2 linked regions of the Styela clava genome follow. The protein of the gene in region 2 interacts with the protein of the main gene of each other region in a pairwise test. Links are inferred from orthologs where the notes say so. Each region holds a gene or a part of one and is shown on either strand. Other genes may lie near its edges.

Region 1 (12,595 bases), on a different chromosome or scaffold from region 2:
TCGATAATCAAACTTTGTTCGTATAATTTAAATTCAACAGGGTCGCAGATTCCGTAACTCTGATTTCATCATTATAATTCTGTTCAGCTCTTTTATTTATCCCGCAAAATTTCGCACTGATCCGTTTCGGGTTGAAAATTCGGGAACGTACATGACCCGCAAATAACGGAATACAGAACATCGAGCTTAGTATCTGTAAAACAATAATAAACACGCCCCATGGCAGATAAGTTGACTCGTCTTTCGAGCCGATGTCTTTGTTCTAAGCGTAGTAACTCGGAGGGTTGAGGAACATGTCCACGAAGCTTGCAATCAGTATAACGACCATAATAATTGGGCAGGTATATCCCCATGATATTTTCCAATACAATCCAGATTTGATTGAATCATTCTCTCTGTCATTTTCGGAGCTGGAAAAAAATAAGTGGACTGTTTATATTTTTACAATAATGTCACGGTAAGTCCTATGCAACTAGGCATCCTTGCATCATGAATAATAGAAAATCAGAAATATTCCCTAGAACGTTTGTGTCAAATAAAAGTTTGGCCTGCGGTTTCGCCCAGTTTTTTGTATATCCCCCTCCTGTATTAATAACAGTTGCCACCCCTGGCTTAAAAATCTCGTTTCAAATATAAAGCACTCACTTCTCTAGTTTGAGGACCCAAGCAACTGCAATTGTTTCGAAGAGTGCGACAGAAACAAGTCCAAATGTAGTTGAGTATTATGTCGAATATGCCGAGGAAGTAACTCTCAGATCTCATCGTGAAGATTAAACCGATTACAAACATGCCTGAAAATGAGGATAAGTAATTATAATTTGTCTTTTCAATTAGCGAGTTGTTTTTAAAACTTTACCTAAACAATGCTATGCACAAAATGCCTCCCGGTGTCGCATACAGTGTGTTCAGCTTTCCATTGTCGCATGTTTTCGTAAACCAGTGAGACGACCAGACGTGCAGCTCTGGCACCTTTGCATATGCTGGTGCAACTTTTTCAATCAAGTTTGTTGGCTGTAATGAAATTTTTGAATAGTTTAAAAAGATCGATTTCCTGACATCACAATTTAAATTGTCTTGCAACACAGCAGCTCTTTTATCACCGAAGTTCGCAAAACGTACATAACATATAGAATCTATTTGTAGCCCAAATCCTTACCTTGGAGTTGCTCAATCAATAGATCATCATTTCAGCGGATGTACAGGCAATCATTTACAATATCAATGATATTTCTCCAGCAATTGTACGAGGTTTTTTAAATTTGGAAATTCGATTTGCAACTAAATAGGATGCCAACGGAGCCTTTGAAATGATTAAATTTGTTCAATTTTTTGAGCATAGAAGCTCCGTGGTTTTTGATGCAACTAGGGATGCGATGTTACAAAATGTCGTTAAATCGCAATGCTGCCACTCCGATTATTTTAAAGATAAACCGTTCGAAAAATCCGTGGATCTGCTGTAAAATCTCACGGAGTAAAATTTATTTCAGCACAGTAAAAATTGATTGAATATATTTTAGATTAATTATCTTATATATAATCACAACCCAGGAAAAAGTCGCGTTTCTAACTTTGTATAATATTAACAATAAAATTTTCGACGACAATTTAAAGTAATGGATAAAAAGGGTAAATCCCGCTCACAATTAACCGTGTTTCGATTCTAGTGACGATATGTTTTTAAACGCCGGCCACAGTGTGCGATTTTCAATGCGTAGCAAAGCGTTTTTAGACTGTCGCGGACCCCAACAAAACTTATTATTGTTCATGGTTTTATGTTCAGTATTTTATATTGCCGCTTTTCAATCGAAAAAAAATTGCACCGCGGATTCACTCCTTCATTTGTCTTTAGAACCTCGCCGCCAATGAACGTATAATAACTCTCGTCAGATTCACAATTCCGTGCGAGTACAAAAATGGATTATTTATCATCGTAAACGTGGCGCAATATGTGGAAAATTTGTTATTTAGAGAGAATAAAGCCCAACGTAAAGGCGTTTACGGTCTAAACAACACTTCACCACCCCACTCAATAATATTCAGAGCCAGTGGTGAAAGATCTATATCAAATTTCTATAGTTAACGAAAGGGTTGGATATTACTATCTTGATAAAAAAAAATCGGAATATTATAGAACGATCAGCATTTTGGGATAAAGTTATTTCCTTTATATATATGTACATATGTTTAAGCTGTATTATCGACTTTCTTCTCCACGGGATGAATATGTGAATATTTTTTTAGTTTTAGGCAGTCGCATTGTGTTCTCAGGATTGACAAATCTGATCAACGCTCTCACCGCCTCAGGCAAACCACTCTTGTGTTATCAGAGTTTCATGTGAGTGACTGGGGAACCACCTATTACCAGCAATTTCATCTCTGGTTCAGGTGATCAAGGTCATCATAATGGATTGACCAGGACTCGTCTTCAACTAACCGACAGTGAGTAAAACATACTCAATAACTGACTCAACCCTTCAACATATATTTATTAATAAACTCTTCCAATGTTTGCACTGTTCCAAACTGTTCGCTTGATTTTGTCATGCTGATAAAACTCTGCAAGTTGTTGGTCGATGAAGAAGAGCTAATAGGAGGATAATCAGGAGGAGGGGACGTCCATTCTCCATCTTCAGTGAGCATATGAGTTCTGCAGAGCAAAATTAGATATACATAACGTGTTTAAACCAAAATGCTATATGTAACCAGTGCAGGATTCCAAAGCCATAACAGATTTTTTAAATGATTAGGTTATCCTTCTCGCTCCTTGGGATCTTTTCCGTTACAGCCTTTGCAATGACACAAAACTTTGGTGAGATTGTTATTATGCCTAAGCATAAAGATGCATTGCTATATGGACATTGAACCAACGTAGCTTGTGATAAGGTGGAATCACTCTTAATTTGTTAAAAGTTCTTGTATTCTGGGTCAAGCACATGATTTGATGACCAAATATTAGTCCCAAACACAAGAACTTTTTGGAGAAAGATGCTGATTACCCTGTTAGGGCGCAAAGTCCAGCAATCTTCTCGTCGCACCAAGCAATGCACAAAGACGGCGCACAACCTGAACATAGTAGTTGTACCAGGTTAGAGTTCAGGTTGTGCACCAAGAATTGGGGAGCGCCACACAGACTACATAGCAATTCCGCTATAAATATAAGTTATACTCTTACCTATCAGATGCGAAAGTTTTTAAAAACTCAGTTGCAGGAACAACTCTCAACAACCTTTCGAATTGTGGTTTGAGCTTCATATTAAAGTTAAATGCTTCAGTTGCATATTCCTCCAATGAACAAGGAAATCCCAGCATTGTGTCAAGATCATATATAAGACTACAAAACAAAAACAAAAATAAGCATATCCAGAATTGTTTTAGTTGAATATTAATTATTAACGACAGAAAGATAGATAAAATGCATCAGTGGCATGCCTAATGAATTTATCATGTTCTGTTCATTAATAGAAATATTCCAGGCCATATGACCAATACTGAACTAACATATATCACTTGTATAAAAAATACTAAACTGCTTCATGGTTTCCCTATTTAGATAGACCCAAATAATATGTTAATGATTAATATATCAGTTACGGTACATAATCTCATGTTACGCAATGTTTCTAACAATTTTCCACCTTATGTAATGTTTACAAAAATTACAATGCATATCTGGCGTGATTGTTTGGATTTATAATTGTTAATAATCTGCAAATGGAATGCCATTACAGTACTATGCAAAATTCATCAGAATTACCACTGGCCGAATGACAATAATTTTTATTATGGGTTTTATAAATTGGAATTTTCTTATTCTGATTTTGCAGATTGTATTCTCAAATGTGCTCAATGCAAGAGGTCCCTGTTGTTTAGTAAATGATGCAGGATTCTTACAAGAGTCAGGAACATTGACACTTTAGTTCCCAAATAAACACGCTCCCTATTAATCAAATGTCAGTAGTTTTTCAAAGTATAGTGAAATTACTACGGTAATTAACATGAAGAGTCACAAGGAGTATAGAAATACCTTTCATTTTCAACAAATAAGATGACATGGTAATCCCACATCACCATTGTATCACTTCGTTTTGACGCTTTTTGTTTCCACAAAGGAATTGTGCGATAATGATTTGAAATGAATATTGCATATGAATTGGATAAGAGTTCTATCTTTCCACTATCTTCAATGTACTTGCATAGTTTCCACACATTTTCTTCACTGTGAAATTGAATTAAACAAAAGAAGTTGTTTTTGACACAATTCAATATCGGTCTATGAAACTGAATTAACTATTATTTCTATGTTGGATGAAATTTAAACAATATAACATCCTTAATCTTATATTTGGAAAACTTTTTTGTTTTATCTTAAAGTAGCTGAAAACAATATGATTTATCATGAAATGTGAATTTCAATTTCCCTATTGGCTTTGAAGAAGTACAAAATAAATATGGAATCCCATTTAAGAAAAGATTTATATGATAGCGAGGTCCAAGAAAAAAAAAAATTCTAGATAGATTAAGTTGAAAGTATACAACTTCTAGTGACTGCTTGTGACAAAGCTTTCATAACAATATGATTGTATGTATTCGGTTAATTCTGTGTCCTTCTTTATGAATTGTCCAAACACCAATTTCCTACAAATATTTTTCTATATCATGACAAATTTGAACAACATAAATATTACCAATAACATTTTGTGTACGTGCATTCATCTCTGTTTGGAAGTTCTGATGACATGTTCATGACAAGATGAGATTCTCAGGGAACGGACATTTCCCTCCTTTATTCTCGATACATACAGGTCATTTTTTGAGTCATGTCATGTATATATAGTATAAAAGACTAAAACTCTGAGAAAAAGGTACCTAGTTAAATTTCCGATCAATATACATGAAATACATATTTAGGGACTCTTCATCGATTTTTTATTGATGTAAAAACAATATGAACGGATCTATGATTGAAGACTGTTCCAACATTGTAATCAGAACAAGTTGACAAGGTTTTACAACAAAGAAAAATGTTTATGTCACAATACATCATTTGATTTAGCATTAATAATTTCAGACATTTGTTTTCCATGAACCACCTTTTCTCTTACTTTACCCAATTTTATGCCTTGATCTGTTTCATATTTATCAATAATTCTCCAATCATCCCAAGAATATGATTTTATCTGTTTTTGTACCAGAAATTCATCCAATTTTCCTTTATTTTTATCATACTTTTGTTCCCAAGTTTTCAAGTCGGTTAAAAGAGTTTTTCCGGTTATCAAACAGTCATTTAAAGTATCTGCAAGAACGCCTTTTGCACCGTTTTTACACCAACCACACGCATATAATGGAGGTGCATGGTCAACCCTGCCTCCATTGTTCATAATTTTGTCTTCAATAAAAGGAATAGTTTCTTCAATAGTCTCATTCCCATATCCAATAGCTGAAATGACCAAGCTACAATCAATATTTTCGGTCTCATTTGTGTAAGATATATCAGGCTTGAACGCATCTTCACCAGTCATAAAATTTTTCTTCAATGTTACACCACAAACTGCTCCATTTTTTTCAATAATTTGTTCAGGGGATCGCAAAAGCTTAACAACAAATTTTTGATTGGTTTCGGAGTCTGCTTTAGAATCAGAATTAGTCATTGATGTCATCAAGTGCTTCACAAGTCTTTGTGTTTTCCTCAATTTTAGGTTTTTAATTTTCAAAGCTGTTTTTACAGCATCTGTGAAACATTTTTGATCTGCTATTGTTGTCACATTCGCAATATCTGTAATTTCAGACAACTCTTTTCGAGTGCATGTCATTTGAAGTGGACCACGTCTTCCTATTAAAATAACATTTTTAATATTGCTTGTTTTCAATGCCTCATAAGATTCTGTAGTAATATCAGTGTCTTTTAATTCTTCATGTGGCTTAAGCAACATTCTTGCACAGTCCAATGCCACATTCCCGACGCCAATGATTGCTGCAGTTGAACCAGATAAATCCGGCTTTAACTGGTTGTATTGTGGAACACCATTATACCAGCCAACAAATTCTTTTGCAGAAAAGACATTGGGTAGATCCTCTCCAGGAATTCCAAGCTGTAAGAGTTTTTGTGCACCAGTGCAAAGGACCACAGCATCAGATACTTGGTGTAATTCACTTAGTGTTATATCGCTTCCAACATCAACATTCCCATAGAAAGAAAATCTAGGGTTCTCTGCAACTCTCTCATATCCATGGATGCAGTTCTTTACATCTTGATGATCAGGAGAAACCCCATATCTTATCAAACCATACGGAATAGGGCATTTTTCAATCATCTTGATTCGCAACAAGTCATGATTCTTTAATAAATATTGAGATATTCCAAACCCAGCAGGACCACTCCCAACAATGCAGATAGTAGGACCATGTGCTTGAGAAAAATGATGAAATAAAACACTACATTTTGTTGATGAAGCACGTAAAGTAAGATTTTTCAATAATACCAGCATTTAAACTATGTTAAGAATTTCTGCTTCAATTTTGAATTATAGTCAAATATGCTATAAATTTTACAATTTACTACCAATATTTACTGTGAAACAAAACATACTATTTCAAATCCAATTGCCAGAATCACAGAGTGACGAACAAAAAGATTGTAGCACATGACTCAAGCCTGGGCGGGCAGAGGTCATCTAGCGAAATGGTTGGAAGTTCTAAACTGCGATTGAAGTAAGCAATTATTTTCTGCTTACTATATAAATTTCGATGGCTGTTCTTTACTTAATCATTGAGCACAGTATTAAATTGCAGGAACTACAGTTTGAATTGGATTTGAATGATATTTATTAATTAAAAAATGAAGTCATTTTTATTTCTAGTCAAACCAATGCATGTAATTTTTTGACTTTTCTTTCAATCTGTATGCTCAGTCCACTTTCTTCTTGCATCAAAGATAACAATACATCGTTATACATTCCTGGGTTTTCCTTCAGAAAATGGCATATTGTTAAGGCTTTGTGTTCTGCAGTATCTACTGGTTTCCCCTCAAATGCAAATGGGAACTTTTCTTTCAAATACAACAGCTCAACTTCTTTAGACAAGCTTTTGATCATGTGTAGAAGTTTTCTGGTGACCAAAGCAGTATTTTCATTATCCATTATGAACAGATCATCTACTACTGTTTAAATAGATATTGTGTAAACTAACTTAAATCATCATAATGAGGAAATAACTGTAAAACAATTTGAAACAAAAAAATTTGAAACATTTTATTATGTACAAGTATTTTGAAAACAAACCTTCAAGGCAATAAATTCAAATTCTGTTCCTAAAAACAAAGTTTAATATGAAACATTTGTAACATTTTTACAAGAAAATCTACAAAATAACAGTTAATCATATATTATAAAATTGTATCAAATCTTGCTCAAAAAACAGTGGTATATCAACTTAGGAGGCATTTATTTGAAAACTCAGCCAAGTCAAGTTTCATGTCACATAAAGAAAGGAAGCAATATAAGAATGTCTTTGAATTTCAATAACATTACAACCTGATATTCATGGTAATAGTAGTAAATTTTATGGTAGCCAAGAGCCAAAAATTCAGTCGATATGGTTGGCGAGCTCATTTTAACTAACTAAAATCTTATAAAATAAATCACATGTCAACAACATTACAACCAGTCAAAAGAGAAGCATTGCTTTTGGAATGGAAATATATACTTGAAAATGAAAAAAAAAAACTACCGGTATTCAAATTTTGCCATTCAGGGTGTAAATTTTATTTCTTTTCCGATTGAGACTGAATACCCCCATTATGGGATCAAGTTGAAGCAAAAAAAAACTGTAATACAAAAGTAACACTATGGATTCTTACGTCCAGGAATTTTACTTCTATATCATAAATTAGTTTTGTTAGTTTCAATTCAGTTTATTTTTCACTCCAAAAATCATATTGTTTGTATAATAAAAATCAACTGGATTTAAAATACTATTCGATTTACATCTCTTTCATATACTCTCAAAATCATTACGTTTGTTAGTTTGAATGGCATGTTTAGAGCCATTTCAAATTTACTGTAAGCAGTTATATTATATTTGTATAGTGTCCAACTTATAAAACACATTTACCATTATTAATAACATTCAAACCGGTACAGGACTAGTGTGAAAAAACCTATATTTTAATTTTTAATATTCGATCCAGCGGAATTAAACAAAAATTTACAACTAGAAACACTTTTTTATGGTAATGGAATGAAATCTCGAATTCTGACTACATATTGATATGGGTAAAAAGGGTAAATATGACCATACAAAAGAGAAAATGGAATTTGGCTCAAAATATAACAGTAGAAGTACAAACTGCATATTTTTCACATTCAAAATATAAAGAGTACCGGTACTTATGGCATACAGGTATTTTATTTTGATAACCAAATAGTTGCACACATGAAATATATGAATATATAAACTTGCTATTTTATGAAGGAATGTACTTTTTAAGTATTTGCTCTAGTTTAGTAACAGAATAAGTGTTAATTTCGCTGATAATTTTAGCTATACTTGCTATTATATATTTATATATACATACATACATGATATTCTGAATTTTGTCTTCTAATTTTATACAAGAACTTAATGGAGATATTTTTATTTATTCAAATTGATAAAATTGGCATTTGCTATATTATATTATCATGCTTAGCACCATTATTTGGAAGACTAAAGTTTAAAAGATTGATTACTATACACCTGTGAGATTACAGTAAGTTTTCTGCATATTTTAGTTTAGAAAAAATAACTTTTGCTATTTAAAATGAAAACCTGTCTCAGATTATTTTGGAGATAGCTGAAGGAGGCAGATTAAATAGGATTTGAAATGAATAAGACTGGAACACAGCAAATTTAAATTTTTTTTTAATCACAAAATGAAACTACCCGTAGGTAATAACCTACATATCATTCATTTGTAAAATTTAGTTGAAATCAAAATTTGGCAATCAGTATTCCACTGAATTGATTTTAATCAATTATAAAAAATATATTGTTACATTAGATATAATTGTTAAAACACTTTACCAGAGTTTTGGTCCAATTTTGTAAAAGTAAGTAATTTAATAATATAACACTGTAAATTATCATATGCAAACAGTAGAAGCCTAAACAACAAATTAAAACACTGGTAATAATTTTCAGTATGAATAATACAAAATCCAATGTAATCAAACAATAGCCTACCACAGAAATTAGAATAACACAGGGGTTCGAAAATGAAGATTTTGATAATTTCCTACAATTTGAATAATACAGTTCAATATTTTCTGGAATTGTAATTTGGTTCTCTAAAATAATTAGAATCAATCTTTTTTCCTTCGATAACTATCGAAGTAAAATTTTCCAAATAATAAGATGAGTGTGACTTGATATCCGACAACAAGACCACTAATCCACTTCGGAAAATCACAGTCGCCAAGAAGTATATTTGCACTATGCACTAGCATGATGAAGAATTGGATCTGGAATGATAAAGCATGGCGATAGATAAAATGAGAAAAGGATAAGTAAAATGTAATAATTTAATATTGTACATTGCTATTTATTTAAATAATTCAAATAATGTGCCGACAAATTTAAGATTACTTAACCATATGAAAATAAATATTTCTAAATATCCAAAGCCAAACTTACACCAACAATATCACAATATAAGGACCTCCTGAAGTATGCGCACCAAGATGGCGCACAACCTGAACTCAGGTTGTGTACCAGGTTAGGGTTCAGGTTGTGCCATATCTTGGTGCGCATACTTAAGGAGTACTCAATATAGATTTATTAATTCAAAAAATATTATCTGCCACATAACACATTATTAAATAATCTAAAATATTTAATTTTCACATACCATTCCTGAATTTAAAAGCTTCCTAATATATTATTTACGAACTTGAATTGTTGGAGCACTATTCTACAACAAATCTTCATTCGGTTAACAAAATTACTAATATCATCTAATTCTAATACAATACCAATTGTAATTTTGTGAGATATTTCTTCCACCAGAGATATTTCTGCATATGAGGTCCAATGGCTGCTATTCCATAGTATGAATACATTATAACATGGATAAATGAATTGATAACACCGATGAGGAAAGCTGAAAATAAAGTGAATAATACAAATAACAAGAATAGTTCAAATGAGGGTTAAAAATCAAGGTATCCAACACAAGTCTCCCAAATTGAAATTACCACCTTGATCATCACTCTGACGATCTTCTAGATAAGGGGTTCTCAAACTCTTGATGTTATGGATCTCCAAAATAAATTTATAAAAATGAAAACAAACACATTGTTACTTACAGATTGAAGTTCATGAGTAAATTAAAATTACTTTATTTAATGACTGGGATGAACCTGATGCGATGTATTTACAAAATATTCAAATTACGGTTGTCAAATTTAAATAATGCCGTTACTGCTTCTTTGGACAGTTACAAAATTAGTCAGTATTTTTAAAGTGAATCAATACCTATCGGAGCCCCCAGGTTTTTTTCACAGAATCCGGAGCCTGTCCAAAGAAGCAATAACAACGAATGCATCGGCGTCATTAAATAAAGTAACATCAATTCAATCGGGAACATTAATTGAGTAGAAATTTATTTGTTTGCTTTTATTTTATGAATTTATTGTGAGGCTCCGCAAATGAACGTCAACCGCCTCATAGGCTCCATAACACCAAAAGAAGGACTCCTGCTCTAGATAAAGATGATTTTTTTCACTGGGATACTATTTGGATATCAACATTGAAGAAAAAAAAAATGAAAGATGATAAAAAAGGTATTAATTTAACTTACAATTTCCACCAGCTACATATTTAATAGCTAGCCACCAGTTTATCAGCATAGTTGCATGATGATAAACATGCAGAAATGAAACTTGATTAAATTTTTTTCTCAATATGAAGAAGATAGTGTCTGCAAGCTCTATGTACTTTGAGAAAAAATACCACCAGCATACTTTGGCCATCTGAAACAAAATTAATAATAATCATCGAAATTATATGTTCTGATATAAGAATGCCTTGTCAGGTGACAAGATTGCAATTGCAATTTGGCCTTTTCATGCCATCAATACTGATTATGAAAATTCACTGAAAATTGACCTAACCATCACAGAGTCACTTAGCTTGACTGTCTGCTGTTGTGGAAGTGACGTAGCATGAGGTTAGCATTGGAATTTAATAAAAAACATTGCTCAAAAGTTGTATATGTTTCAATTAATACATGTAGCCTTGTAGGCTATATATTTTTGACAATAGGCTTATTAATGACATAATATGTAAAATGGTAAGATATTTAGCTGCCAAAAATAGGCGAAAATCTGCTTCCTAAATCAACTGATAACAGAATTGCAAAGCACAGTATAAAATACTGTTACATCTTTAGTATTCTAATATGAGCAATCAATAAAAAACTCACACGAATCGCTAAAGGATTGTCCGAATAATCAACTGGCTGACATATCACGCTGTATCCTGAGAGGATGCTCGTAACCAGAAACTAAAAAAAAAACAGAAATTGGAAGTGTTCAAGCATTCAGCACTTATTTGCTCTAAATAAATAAATCAAACAATACAGTTGACATCTGACTCCTGTATTACTGTTAGAAAATTAAATAATATCACAACACTAATGACAGAATGACTTCTGGACTAGGTTTGGAACTGCAGCCTTGAATCCAATAGAGGAAGATGATATGAAATAGAATTGCAACTGCTTTTCATTACAAAACTGACAATTAATGACCTATTTAGATATACTACCTGGTCTGGTAACAAATAGGGGAGCTATCATTTCATTAGACAATTTCTCTTATCTTATTTTGCCTAAGCAAGAGTATTAGTATATATTCATGTAAAAAAAGGGGTATATTTGCATTATGATATGCTACATACCTCCCAGACTGGATTCCATGGCAGGTGCACGCCCGAGGGCGCTAGCGCTCCGCAAAAATGCACGCGAGCGAAATCAATTTTGCACGCCGAAAATTTGCAATTGCTCACCAATGTAAATCGGTTTAAATGGTTTTAAAATCAATAATCCAGTAATATAAAGATGCCAAAATATTATAACTCCACAATTGTCGACAAATACTAGCCTGCAAGATTTGGTCTGATCGAAATATTGCGAAGCAAAAAGACCATGGACCTTTCCCCAACCTTTGACCCGCGAAAAATTCCTCTCATTGTTACGTCCTTTTTTGCATCTTGCTGATTGGCCAATGTCACGAAGTAAACAAGGAAGTCGATGCTCGGGGAAAGATCCATATCGTGTTGAAGGATAGGAAATAGGAATCCCGTGAGAATAGTTATGGACGAAAAGATCGCCTCCGCACCAATGGCCAAGTACGGCTCTGATTCAGCGTATTTTTTATACAATAATTTTACACGAATGTACTGAACAGTACCGGTATCTAAAGTTGCTCAAACACTCCCAAAATTAGTGACAAAGTATGAAAATAATGCTTGGGGTCAAAGGTCAAACGTCCATTTTGCTCTAATTTGACGTATTTTTTATCCATTAATTCTACGTAAAAACACTACTAAAATTAATGAC
Region 2 (12,154 bases):
ATTCATAAACAGCTTGCTACATTCACCTATATATTGGACAGGATGTATTATGATAACATGATATGACACATATTTCAGAGTGTGACAGAATGTACCGTATACAGAACAAGGAACTTCCTTGCTCTTAAAATAGTAATTTGGTAGTACCCCGAGTTTGGTAAAAAAATCTAGGTTGATCATTTTATTTTTGATATGACCAGAAACATGCTGCAAACAAAATGAATCCAGTATATGTACATCAGCTCAACATGGACATATGTCTTGTAATACAAATTCCTCATATGATTAATATTTTTATATTAGGTTTCTATAACTCTTTTCAGTGCTGAATGACAACTAAAGATATATTCAACTAACAAAAATTAGATAATATCACAATTACACTGCAAACTGTCTCATATAACATTTTTACAGGCCTTTCACCCGGTGATATGTGAGGAGGTACTACGTTTTGAAAGGACCAGAATCTTTCTGGTTTGGCAATACCAACAGTCTGAATCATTAATCTTTAGCATTTTCAATATAGAATTACACTTCATAGACATCCCATGTTCATCTCAACTTTTATTAAAAGAATATTTTTATGATATCTACTATCTATCTAGCTACTCACTTTCATCTCGGAACATCTTTGCCAGCATGCTTTCTGGTTCCATTGCTACTAATGTACTCCTAAAATAAAAACAAAGAAATCACAAAATTACTTATATCTATCTACACATTACATCAATTGAAATATTATATCGCTATATACTCAGCAAAATAGAAGCGAAACAATACAGCACTTGAGATAATGTACAGGGGATAGTGTATTTTGAAAAAACATGTGAATAAATAAGTTGACGTTACTTCTACAAAGACTGGGCTGTTGATTATGATATAGATATCATAAATGGAATGAATATTCATCGCAAATTGATTAATTTTTAACATGGTAACGCATTAATGAGTTAGTCATAACCTATCACCAAGTTATACCTGCTTTTTGATAAGAATACCAAAAATTTTTATTTCTAACATTTTTGCCTGTATATCCAAAGATGTAGATGTGATGAAATTGATACATTTATTATTATGCATTTTCTAATACCAAACTCTACTTTATCGAAATAGATATAGAATTGCCACTTATTCCAATAAGTTTCTGTTGATACTGGGAAAATTTCTGTTCGAATTCCATACATGCTATTTGTATATAGCGTCCTGCGCAGCGGTGTGGCTCATTGTGCTAAGCGTTAGAAATACGCTCGCCACCGCACCTCTGATTACTCTTCGTGGGTTCGCAAGTTGGAATCTCACGCAAGGATATTTATATGCAAGAGAATGCTGGCCTCTTCGCTACCATAGGGTGGTTCACGTAACCGCTTATCGGGTTACCTCTTCCCCAGGATGAATATGTAAATCCTATCCTATCCTGTTTATATAATTAGGACGCTTGAGTGTAGCCAGTTAAAAAAGTCAGATGTCATGTTTAATCAAGGTTGACATTGTGAAATAACAAAATCCCCACTTCACAATACCATTATAGTTACAATATTTGATCAATAATTAAATAAAATAGAAATATACAAATGAGATGTTATCACTTGAGTTTGGTTGAAACAAATTTAGGTTTCAGGTACACAATTCATTGAAAATCCTTCCAATAAAGCACAATCATCCAGGTTGACTTTTTGTGACTTTTTGTGAAAATCTGTGGTAAAATTGCTGTTTTTTCTCTGAAATTTGCCACTTTCACAGTAAACCCCCGATAGCAAATTATATATCAATGAAATACCTATTCTTAATTGTGAGAAACTATTAAAACAGATAAATATCAACCTTGTTGTACAGAATTTCTTCCCACCAACGTTGAGACTAATCCAGTCACTCTGATTATCGGGGTTTTGTGAGTGCTCTAAAATGTAAATAAAAATTACAAATTTGGCCAGCGATGCCTCACAAAGAAAATAGGTAAAAATATAAAATTGAAACAAATGAAGAAATGCGATTAGAGTAGAAAGTTTGACAATAATATAATGACTTGGTACTTTCAACATGAAATGAATTAGAAGAAAATTATATCAAACCTTTCAGCACATTTGCATTTTCAAGTTCTAGATCAATGCTACAACTTACATGAAATAATAAATAAATAAGCAAATAATAAAAAAAGAACATTCATTGCAATTTTGGGATTTTATTACATTTCCGAAACAATGTATAACAAGAAATTAGAATAAACAATACATAATATATTATAGAATTAAACTGAATAATAACAAAAAATTGGAGACTACTTTATGAACAGAAATCAATTTATCACAGTATTTCCGAGGTCATAAAAAATATGAATAAAAATAAATCCAGCCAATCAATCTTGTCAGTAAACTTTGATAATAAAAAATAAATACTACTCATACTACCTTGTTCTGAAACTTTTTCAGTAGGCTTGAATATATACAGTGGCTCATTATCTCTGTGATAAGAATAAATATGTTGGAGGCGTATCGGACCAAAAAATTTGAAGGCATAGTAAGACATAAATTTTGGTGAAATAAAAACTGAAATCTTACTATTATATTTTATAGCAAAATCAACAAAAACTAAATTCATACAATTTGTTTTGCAGCCATATCCTCTTATTACAGTGGGAGATGATTAGTAACAAACCTTTAGGAGTTAATTTTGACTTCAAACTTAGTTTATTCAAATGAATCATACACTCTAGGCTACTATAGCCTTAGGTCTACTGTCATATGTCACCTACCCTGGTTGAGGTAAGAAATAAATATGATTCCTTAGAAATGAAAAATGCTGTAGTAAACTTCATGTAATAGTAGCACAGAGTATATAGTTTAAACCAGTGATTCTTTATATTTTTACTTTGCGGACCAGTAAAATTTTAAAAATAATTTTGCGGACTTGTGAACTTTCAAAATCAATCTAAAATGTCAAAATCTAAAAACAGGATAAAATGAATGTAATTACAACAAAAGTATGCAATTCAAAAGCAGACAATTCAATTTAATTCAAAATTTGCTGCTATCTTTTTGATATCCTATACAGTTCTAATGTTCCACAAGGCAAAGTAGAGCAGTGACTTCCACATGATCACTCTGTCTATTCTATCAAATATCGCTAAACTATGCTGTCAAATTACAGAACGTACAAGCTTCTCAATCAGTATAAAATTTACCAAAGCATGTATTCTGTGCTCATGAACTCCTTCTTTATGATGTTCGCAGTTATAACGTCATAGACTCATGGAAACATCCAGTTGTTCAGGGTTTGAAATGAACGCAGGACCTCTGACCAAGTTTCGTTTATGCATGGAGTTGCAACCGTCAAGCTTTAAGCTTACCTTATCAGATTCACATCATCCAGTTCAGCACCTTCTCCTGTGTATAGAGTACTGATGGAAACACCAAACACTTTACATATTGATGAATATAATTCTTCTATTCTTCTAGGAACTGCAAAAACCTTTGAAAAGAAGATTTTCATTACAACTTCCCAATGACTTAAATTTTCTGTGTCAAAAACAAAACCTTGATGCAACTTTTAAGTATTTGATTTTACAATGCTTATGAAGCTGTAAAGTGAGTGAAATATGTGAAATAGATTTTGGGGATAGGATAGTATATACATATTTATCCCGGGGAAGAGGAAAACCGATAAGCCGGCCTAATCATATGGCGAACCACGGCCTCTCGTCCGGTTACCAGTCCAGTTCGGGTATAGGATTAGTTAGCCAGTCATTTGTTTTCGGAAGCATGGACTTGATGGTGGAGGAAGCCGTAACCGACCAGCGGTTACGTGAACCACCCTACGGCGGCGAGGAGTTCAGCAATCCTCTCGCACATGATCATCCCTGCATGGGATTCAAACCTGCGATCCCACAAAGGGCAATCAGTGATGCGGTGGCGAGCCTATTCCTAACGCTTAGCACGATGCGCCACACAGCCGAGACTTGTGTTGTTTTGTCCCACAATTACTTCTAGTGGGCTTGGCATGTCGGTTCTTAGATATGTTATTCCCCCCCCCCCCTTCCTGAACGGATCATCCAAAAATTATGTCACTACCAGACTACGGCGTCACTGCCCAAAATGGCAACTGCGCCGACGTTAAAGAACTGACTAACGTCAGCGATCTCTCTCGTATTGAGATCGTTGCAACAAGAAAACGAGGGAAATAGCTTTTCGATTTCGGATGCTCGTCTGCGCGTCTTGGATCACAGTTTGCATAGTTTGAAGGGCTCTATTACGTCACTGTCACGTCGTAGTGATGTAATTTTTGAATGGCGCGGCCAGGTGGAGGTTATGATTAACATATGCAAAAATTGTTATGCTACGCCCACTACAGCACTAGAAGTACTTTAGTTACGAAACTACACTAAAACCCATCATTCTATTCACTTAGCTTAAATCAGTGGATAGAAATTATTACTATACCGGTGTTACAGTATTAGATAGTCTATTTTTAATATTTCATAAGCTAGATAACGTACACAGGAAAAACCTACCTTCCCGTGTTTTCCAGTTTCGTCTTCAAATACTTGCACCCTCTTCATTTTAGCAGGTGTCTATATATTCTACTCCCTGGCTCGAAAAAAACAGAAAAATGAATGCAATAATCAAGGAATAGGCTATGACAAAACACAACAAAAAGCAAGGAAGACCTTGTCAAGTGTAAATGTGGGGTTTCCCCGCCATTGACATGAAATGTTTATTTATTGCAGCAGTCACTAGGTGGAACTGAAAGTCAAAGAGTCAGTCAGTTAGTATTTTGGGAGTAAAGACAATTTGGAAACATGTACAGAATACAAAGGGAAAAGTTAAATAAATCGAAAAAATAATTTTGAGAACAATGAATGATTTAGCGAAAAAAATCCACAGCAAAGGCACTTTGGGAACATCATGTACAAAATACAAAGAGAGAAGTTGATAGCCTCAAAAAAATTACTTTGAGATTAATAAATGAATTACCGAAAATAAAGTCACAGCAAAATTATTTTGCTCAAATGTATGATGAAACATATATTAGAGAAGGATTTTGAGAAAACGGAAATTAAGATGGGTCTCTATATTAGAGATGCACCGATACCACTTTTGTCGCCGATACCGATACCGATCCGATACCAGCTAAAAACGCCGATACCGATACCGATACGCCGATACTACAAAAAGGCCGATATTACCGATATTCCGATACCGATACTATGTAAATATTACTTGATTAGGTGTGTTGTGTAGAGCAGACGGGTTAAAACAATGGTCTCTGAGCGTTGTTCATAGTACACAATATTTCAGATCGAAAAAAAAGATATATATGTCGCATAATATGAAATTAATGATTGGTATCCATATGCTTTAACTGATTAAGATACATTGTATAGTAACGCTAGTAATCTCGGTGTTCAATTGAAACTCATAAGCCGGGATGTCCAATATGAATTTAATGTTAATATCGCGACCTTCAAAAATCGTTATTCGTGTTTAAAAGAATATCGAATATCACCCACACATTCTAGAGCCGCCGTCCTAAGATCAAATTAAAAGCATTTTTCAAATATTTCATTTCGTCGCTAATCGTAATCGTCGACGCAATAAGTAAGTCAAAGCCAACATGAAAGAATATCAATCAGCACCGACCAAAAGAAGGCCTACCTATAACCGTCGAGGACATTTTTTTACTTTACTATTTTATAATATTATACAATTGCTATCATATATTTTGTTATAGTCTAGGGCTAGGCGGTCATGTCAATATATCTATATATACCTGCGTAGAGGGATAATTGTGTCGGAATTTAGTTTATTGATGTCGACGGACTGAATGACACTCGTACTTGACGACAAACAGTCAAAATTTATACCCGTGCCAAAAGTCCATGTGCCGTTAATAAGGACCCCAATTCCACTGTATGATTTAAAACTGGGCGTCTAATTGCTTTTTGTTATGTGCCGTGTTGATATATTTCTTCATAATTACTATGTAATATTAAAAATTTCAATATAAAAATTTGACAGCGAAAATAGCCAAATTAGTTGAGCTAATTTGGCTGATAAAAATACACGTGAATCCTATTCTCTCGCGGGGGTGGCGACATGTATGGCTCATAGCTCACGATCTCTCCAGACAAAAAATAAATTAAAAAGTAGTATTCCAACTTATCTTTAAAACATTCTGGACCATATCAAAAAGGTAAATATATCGGAAATATCGGCCTTAATCTCACCGATACCGATACATGGCCGATACCGTAAAAATGGCCGATATTGCCGATACCGATACCCGATACCGATACATCGGTACATCTCTACTCTATATGCGGTGTTTTCTATAGTATTCTATTATTTCTATATGCTTTTATGCTACATAGTGGCGTTATTTGTCAACACGTGGGGTTATCAGATGAATAGATAACAACCGTATAACAACCTTTATACTTTAGTGTTTGACTTATTTTATGGGTGCCGCTGCTCGATAACCAGTATTGGTTTCTCGCGTCTCCTTCACCCTGAAATATGGCCTATTTATAATTTAATTTATCGCAATTTGTATGTTTGTGCCTATTTCAAGTATGATGAGAAATAAACTACTGATTATTGATTACTGTATAGTATTGAATCGTAGTAGTATACATTTACGATTGAATGCATTCACTACATATATTGAGTAGGCCTATCCCCTCAGATGTCCCCTTCTATGCAATCCACTTTCTAATTACATTTGAACTTGAGTAGAGACAGAGGAAGATTTATTTGTTGGTCAATTAAAATAAAATAACAGTCATCGTAACAAAACATTGTACGTACATATATCGCCTTATTTTTTCAGTGACAGAAGACAGAGTGCGCCTAAGCATTCTCCTCGAACGCAAGACAACGATGGTCATGTTTTTCAGAAAACTTTGATAAGGGATACCATGATAATCGAAGTAGAGGTGTCTGGTAAAAACCTATTTCAAAGCAGCTGATCTTCTCGTCACAAGCATTTCAAACAGTCGCGATAATACCGATTGAATAGAATTTTGTCGAAATCTTTAGGTGCGTCTGAAAACACGTCGCGATGTTGAATCTTTTATCACTCTTTTCGAAGTGATAACTAGTATCCCCACGCAACCCATGCAAAGGTACTCTACTGGGCAGGCTTTGGTAAATCTTGTCGACTGTTCGCTTAACTAATGTTCGTAATGTTCGATTAACACGAAGTGGCGCGGCGGTGTGGCTCATCGTGCTAAGCGTTAGGAATACGCTCGCCGCCGCACCTCTGATTACTCTGCGTGGGTTCGCAGGTTCGAATCCCAAGCGGGGATGGTTATGTGCGAGAAGATTGCTGGACTCCTCGCCGCCGTATGGTGGTTGGTTAGTTACAGCTTCCTCTAACACAGTGGTTCTTAAACTTTTTGAGCCGCGCCCCGCTTTAAAAAAATTTACAAACTTCGCGCCCCCCCCCCTATTTTTGCTTTGAAAAAATGCTCTTGTGATAGGCAGGTTGCTATATATTAAGATGGCGCTATAACTGAGTGTTGGTCTCATAGCGTCATTGCTCAGATTGTTTCGGCATAAAACGCTTCGGAGTACAACTTCACCATTCACTGTCGTATGTATAAAGCCAAATAGTGGTTGGTCGTCATACATTCTCGTTTTTCCGCTCAGTTTGCAATACTTGGCAAAGTCGAACTAATTATTAAGTAAAACTAAACAAGCAAACTCTTTGTGCGTGCTGCACACCAGTAGTGTTCTAAAACTACAGACTTGATATAAATTTTACTCCGTGGGATCGCAGACTTAGGAATATCTGTAACGATGATATCTTGAAATTAATCGAGTGGCGGCATTGCGATAGAGCGGATCAAGAGTTGCAGGGACAGCTCATATTGGTGAAATTGGCAAGAATACAAATCAAAACAAAATGTAATCGACATTTTTATGGTTGTGGATTACCGTGTTATTTTGGAGTACTGGTGCTTTTATTTTATCGACGCAATCGCAAATTTAATTTATCACAATTAAATGAAAAAAGCAACCATTTTAAATGAGTATATCAATTCAATCATGAATTGAATATTTTATTCAACAGAAAAACCATTACATATCCGTTGAAAAAGTCGGCTCTTTTAATGACTGGCGTAATCTCGTGGACTGACTCAGAAGCCGTACCGCGGGGATTTCGTTTCGATGAATATGTATATTTCATCTACTAATATACTTTACATGTATTTTAATTGTACTAAATTAAATATACTTTCTGGGATATTATACCAGATCTTTCTAATGACGACAACGAATTTGCATGAGTGCAATATATATAAAAACTAAATATAATCGGGCAGTTGATCACACTTTATTATGTCCGCGGATTGGCGTGGTATTTTAGATAGGTAATGAGTTTATTTTGTCGTGAGTCGCCGCAACCGTGAGTTACTTTGAACACAAATGAATTAAAATAGAGAGACATTTTGAATTATTGTAGTTATTACGAAACAGAAAAATTTATTATAACACGAAAAAGCTGGTATTTTTAACGAACGCGGAGACCGTTTCAGGAGCCGTTACATGTAAATTTCCGATTCCATCTTGTGCGCGCGCCCCAGTTTAAGGAACCACTGCTCTAACATCAAGTTCATGCTTCCGAAAACAAATAACTAACTAATCCCATACCCGACATGGAATGGTAACCGGGCGAGAGGTCGTGGTTCCTCTTCCCCGGGATAAATATGTAAATCCCATCCTATCCTAGTCATCAGCAATTGTTTTTGTCAGCCTGTATTTGTCTGTATAAATCGGTTGAAAGTTACGAAAAGAAACGGAATCAATATTAATGCAATGTTATGACCCTTACTTTCGATTTGAAGGAGAAAATGGTGCAAACTAGACATTAAACGATCAAAATTGGCATGGAGAAAATGTCATCTGATTCATCTGTCAACCGAAAAGATTTTCTCATCGGGAGATTGATAATTAATTATCGTTGATTAGTTTGTGTCACTAATTACTGTTCGCGGGAAGCCAACATAGCGCTGTACATCGCTCAAACAGTCTTCGAGGTGCGTGATGGCATGTGTGTTAATTCGTCGCAAACTATGGCTACGGGACGATATCGCTAATTTCGAACGGCATTCAGGTGAGCAAAATGTACCTGATTACTAATATTTTACTGTTCTTGTATTATTTTGTCTTTTTAATTGTATAAATTGGGGGGTTCCGAGCCAATAAGAATTAAAATTTGTAACCTAATAATTGGATCAATGAATATATATTACATTTATGCTTTGTGAAACTATCTTGTACTACTATATCTGTATTGTTTGTCATCAATTAATTTGTTAATTTTGTGAGTTGTAATGATTATCTCATCTCCATTTCAAGTTTGATATAAATTCAATCAAACCCTGACTGGTTGCATTCTTTTATCTGATTTGGTATATCTCTGATATACAGTAATGTTTTCGTTTTCGCAACAAATTCAAATGTACTAAAATTTGAACGGTGACAAATATTCAGTGACAATATTAGTTTTATGTATCGATGCTATCGTTATTGATGAAGACCCATTTCGTTGCCTAAAATAGTTACAACTTATTTAAACTAAAAATGAAGAATTTTCCCGTAATAAACTGTCTCTACAATAGGTTATGCCTTTTGCCAATTTTTGCATAATCGCGCTCCGTGCTTCCTATGTTTTCAATTTATTTGGCACTAAAAATTAAACATTTCCATGTAGTATATACCCGTGTGTCTATTCAATTTTTGAAAACCACGATGATTGGTAACAGTAACTATTGATGTAATTATAGAATTTATGTTGCAGATCGCCCTCCATAGTTTAGTGACAATACATTTTGTGATAACATTATTGCTAAAATATAATTTATAATGCACGCTATTTTTAATGTTTATTATTGAAATTGTAAAAATGTTTTATTTTCCCATCGAATGTGCTATATTTATATTTTTATGCATTCTTTGATATACACTCTACTATATATGGGCATAGGGCGTTTCAGAATTTTCTGGAGCGCGACAGGACCCCATCGACAAAGGCTAACGAGTGGATAAATCGACACCTCCTTCTGGGTCCACGTGGAAGCTCGGTAAAATATTTAGATAAAAGGTTGTATATAAACTCCAATTTGCCAATGTAACGTATTCAAAGTGATTAATCATATGGATGCCATTTGGGGGCCCGAGGCACTTAGGACCTTGCCTATATATTTATTTAACAGCTATTAAAAAGCGCCAGTCGTTAAATTTTTAAATAGCATTTCACCGTAACTTCAATAATCTTTGCAAAAAGCGTCAGTATTTGCCATAACGTCAATACTGTTGAGAAGATATGATTGCATTCGATTGTTTCATTAATGAGACAGCAAAAAAGCTCTTGGCATATCCTACTTGAATTAAATTATTTCTAAAAGCATTTTGGTGCTATAATATAATCCATGCCTCACTAAATTTCCGATCCAGTGTGATTTCAGTCGTTTGAAAGTGTATGTTTGGAATTAATTTCATCTACACATTTGAAATTTCGTATCGTTTTCAAACATCACAGAAGATTAATTTAAGTGTTTGTATAGATAATCTTGGAGTCAAATCAGCTAATATAGACTTTTTTAGAAGTATAAAACATCATAGCTTGTTTTTCACCGGACATAATTGCGTTAAATGGCCCCAAACTATTTCTCAATGACTAACCAGTTTTATTATAATTTATCTCTGTTGCACGCGTGATCAGCACATTTTTCCCCGTTTAATTATCCTATTGGATCGTATCGTATTGTACTGCGATTGTAAGCTGGAAGCTGATAATGAAGACATTCTCTCGTTAAGTGTCTTACAAAGTTTTGAGGGATTGGGCATTCGAGGCGCTGCTGTTGTATTCGTCGTTTAACGACAGACGATAAGCTATCTTCCACCACACTAACAATAACAAGTAGAAATATATACTTTTTAACCCTAAATGTTAGTAAGTGAAACAATCTTATTGTTTTCAAATATTGCAAGTTGCTTGAATAATTTCATCTCGCTATCATTTTTTAGCGACAAATACCTCACGATTCAAAGAAACATATTTTTATTAGTTCCAAGGTTTATCACAACTGGTAAAATCTTCACCACTCATCTCCAAATCAAAAGAATTTAGAATAAATTGCTTCAGGATTTTTACAAGAACTATAATAGTGATAGCAGCTGTAGGCTACTATAATTATCCTTGACTGACAACTCTCTATCGTTTCCGAAAGCGACATTATGAGTTTTCCGCAAAACGATCTGCAATGTCTGACCAACATGGGCAATCCCACAAATAAGCTGAATATCACACTGTCCAAGTACCTTTAATTTCAAATATTTATTTATACGATATGCAATGATCAGAAACTTTATAATATGGCTTCCTTCCTTAGTCAAAAAACGCTCTAATATCTTCAGTTTGACGATTACTAAACTTTTGACTATCGTCAGAAATAACACATCTTAAAAATATGAACATAGAAAATATCAAATAGAGAAAACAAAGTATACTACAGCGCGTTGAAGCAAAAATAATAAAACTATACAGATTACTTAAAAAAGCTTTTGGCGGCAGCACAACTTAGATCAAAGTGCTGTCAACCTACGTCGATTCAAAATACGCATATTCGATTACCTATTTATACAGCTATCTTTTGTACATTTTAAGTGGCATTGTCGAAATTCTAATACACTGTATCATAATGTTCATTGCGATGTATTCTTTATGTAAAGATGTAAAACTTAGCATGTAAAACTTAGCACAATAGCATGTAGTGAATAAGTCAGAGTACTTTAAAATATTAGAATTACCGCCACGGAATTACCGAATTTCTCGTTATTTTCGGGCAACTTTAATATTCACATCTACAATCTATCTTGGTGGAGCCTTTTCAAATCCAATTTTTTACCCATATGTACGGGTGGCAGTACCAGTGGGGGCAATATAAAATGAACAGTCTCGTTTGGATCTGCGTCTCGTGTTGGTGGTCTTGATGGAATCTCTTGTATATTTGGAATAGAGGGCAATTTTGATCCTGTAACTCTGGACATCCGCCTACTATATAAATACAAATGAACACAGTTGAAGCTCATTTTTGGAATAAACTAAATACCAAACAAGTTTGAATTCTCGTTTTAGAAAAGAATAACTTCGT

What was found.
Region 1: the proteins of BTB/POZ domain-containing protein KCTD9-like (region 2) and protein N-terminal glutamine amidohydrolase-like interact in binary tests that used the Homo sapiens proteins (3 or more experiments, as listed by UniProt). The link is inferred for Styela clava from reciprocal best matches to the Homo sapiens genes KCTD9 and NTAQ1.

The regions. Positions count from the first base shown.
Region 1 is NC_135262.1:9,681,965-9,694,559, reverse strand, and holds the start of protein N-terminal glutamine amidohydrolase-like, read right to left. Parts: upstream 4,895-12,595; 5' UTR 4,745-4,894; coding exon 4,686-4,744; intron 4,217-4,685; coding exon 4,025-4,216; intron 3,332-4,024; coding exon 3,173-3,331; intron 2,648-3,172; coding exon 2,467-2,647; 3' UTR 1,157-2,466; intron 1,012-1,156; 3' UTR 857-1,011; intron 792-856; 3' UTR 646-791; intron 411-645; 3' UTR 1-410. Other genes in the region: NADPH:adrenodoxin oxidoreductase, mitochondrial-like, read right to left, coding at 5,031-6,485; very long chain fatty acid elongase 4-like, read right to left, coding at 9,339-9,497, 10,008-10,135, 10,835-11,006, 11,459-11,539. UniProt on the Homo sapiens protein: Mediates the side-chain deamidation of N-terminal glutamine residues to glutamate, an important step in N-end rule pathway of protein degradation.
Region 2 is NC_135251.1:23,490,187-23,502,340, forward strand, and holds the start of BTB/POZ domain-containing protein KCTD9-like, read right to left. Parts: upstream 4,684-12,154; 5' UTR 4,553-4,683; coding exon 4,505-4,552; intron 3,466-4,504; coding exon 3,344-3,465; intron 2,459-3,343; coding exon 2,406-2,458; intron 1,898-2,405; coding exon 1,822-1,897; intron 673-1,821; coding exon 614-672; intron 1-613. Other genes in the region: uncharacterized protein LOC120336169, read right to left, coding at 11,865-12,057. UniProt on the Homo sapiens protein: Substrate-specific adapter of a BCR (BTB-CUL3-RBX1) E3 ubiquitin-protein ligase complex, which mediates the ubiquitination of target proteins, leading to their degradation by the proteasome.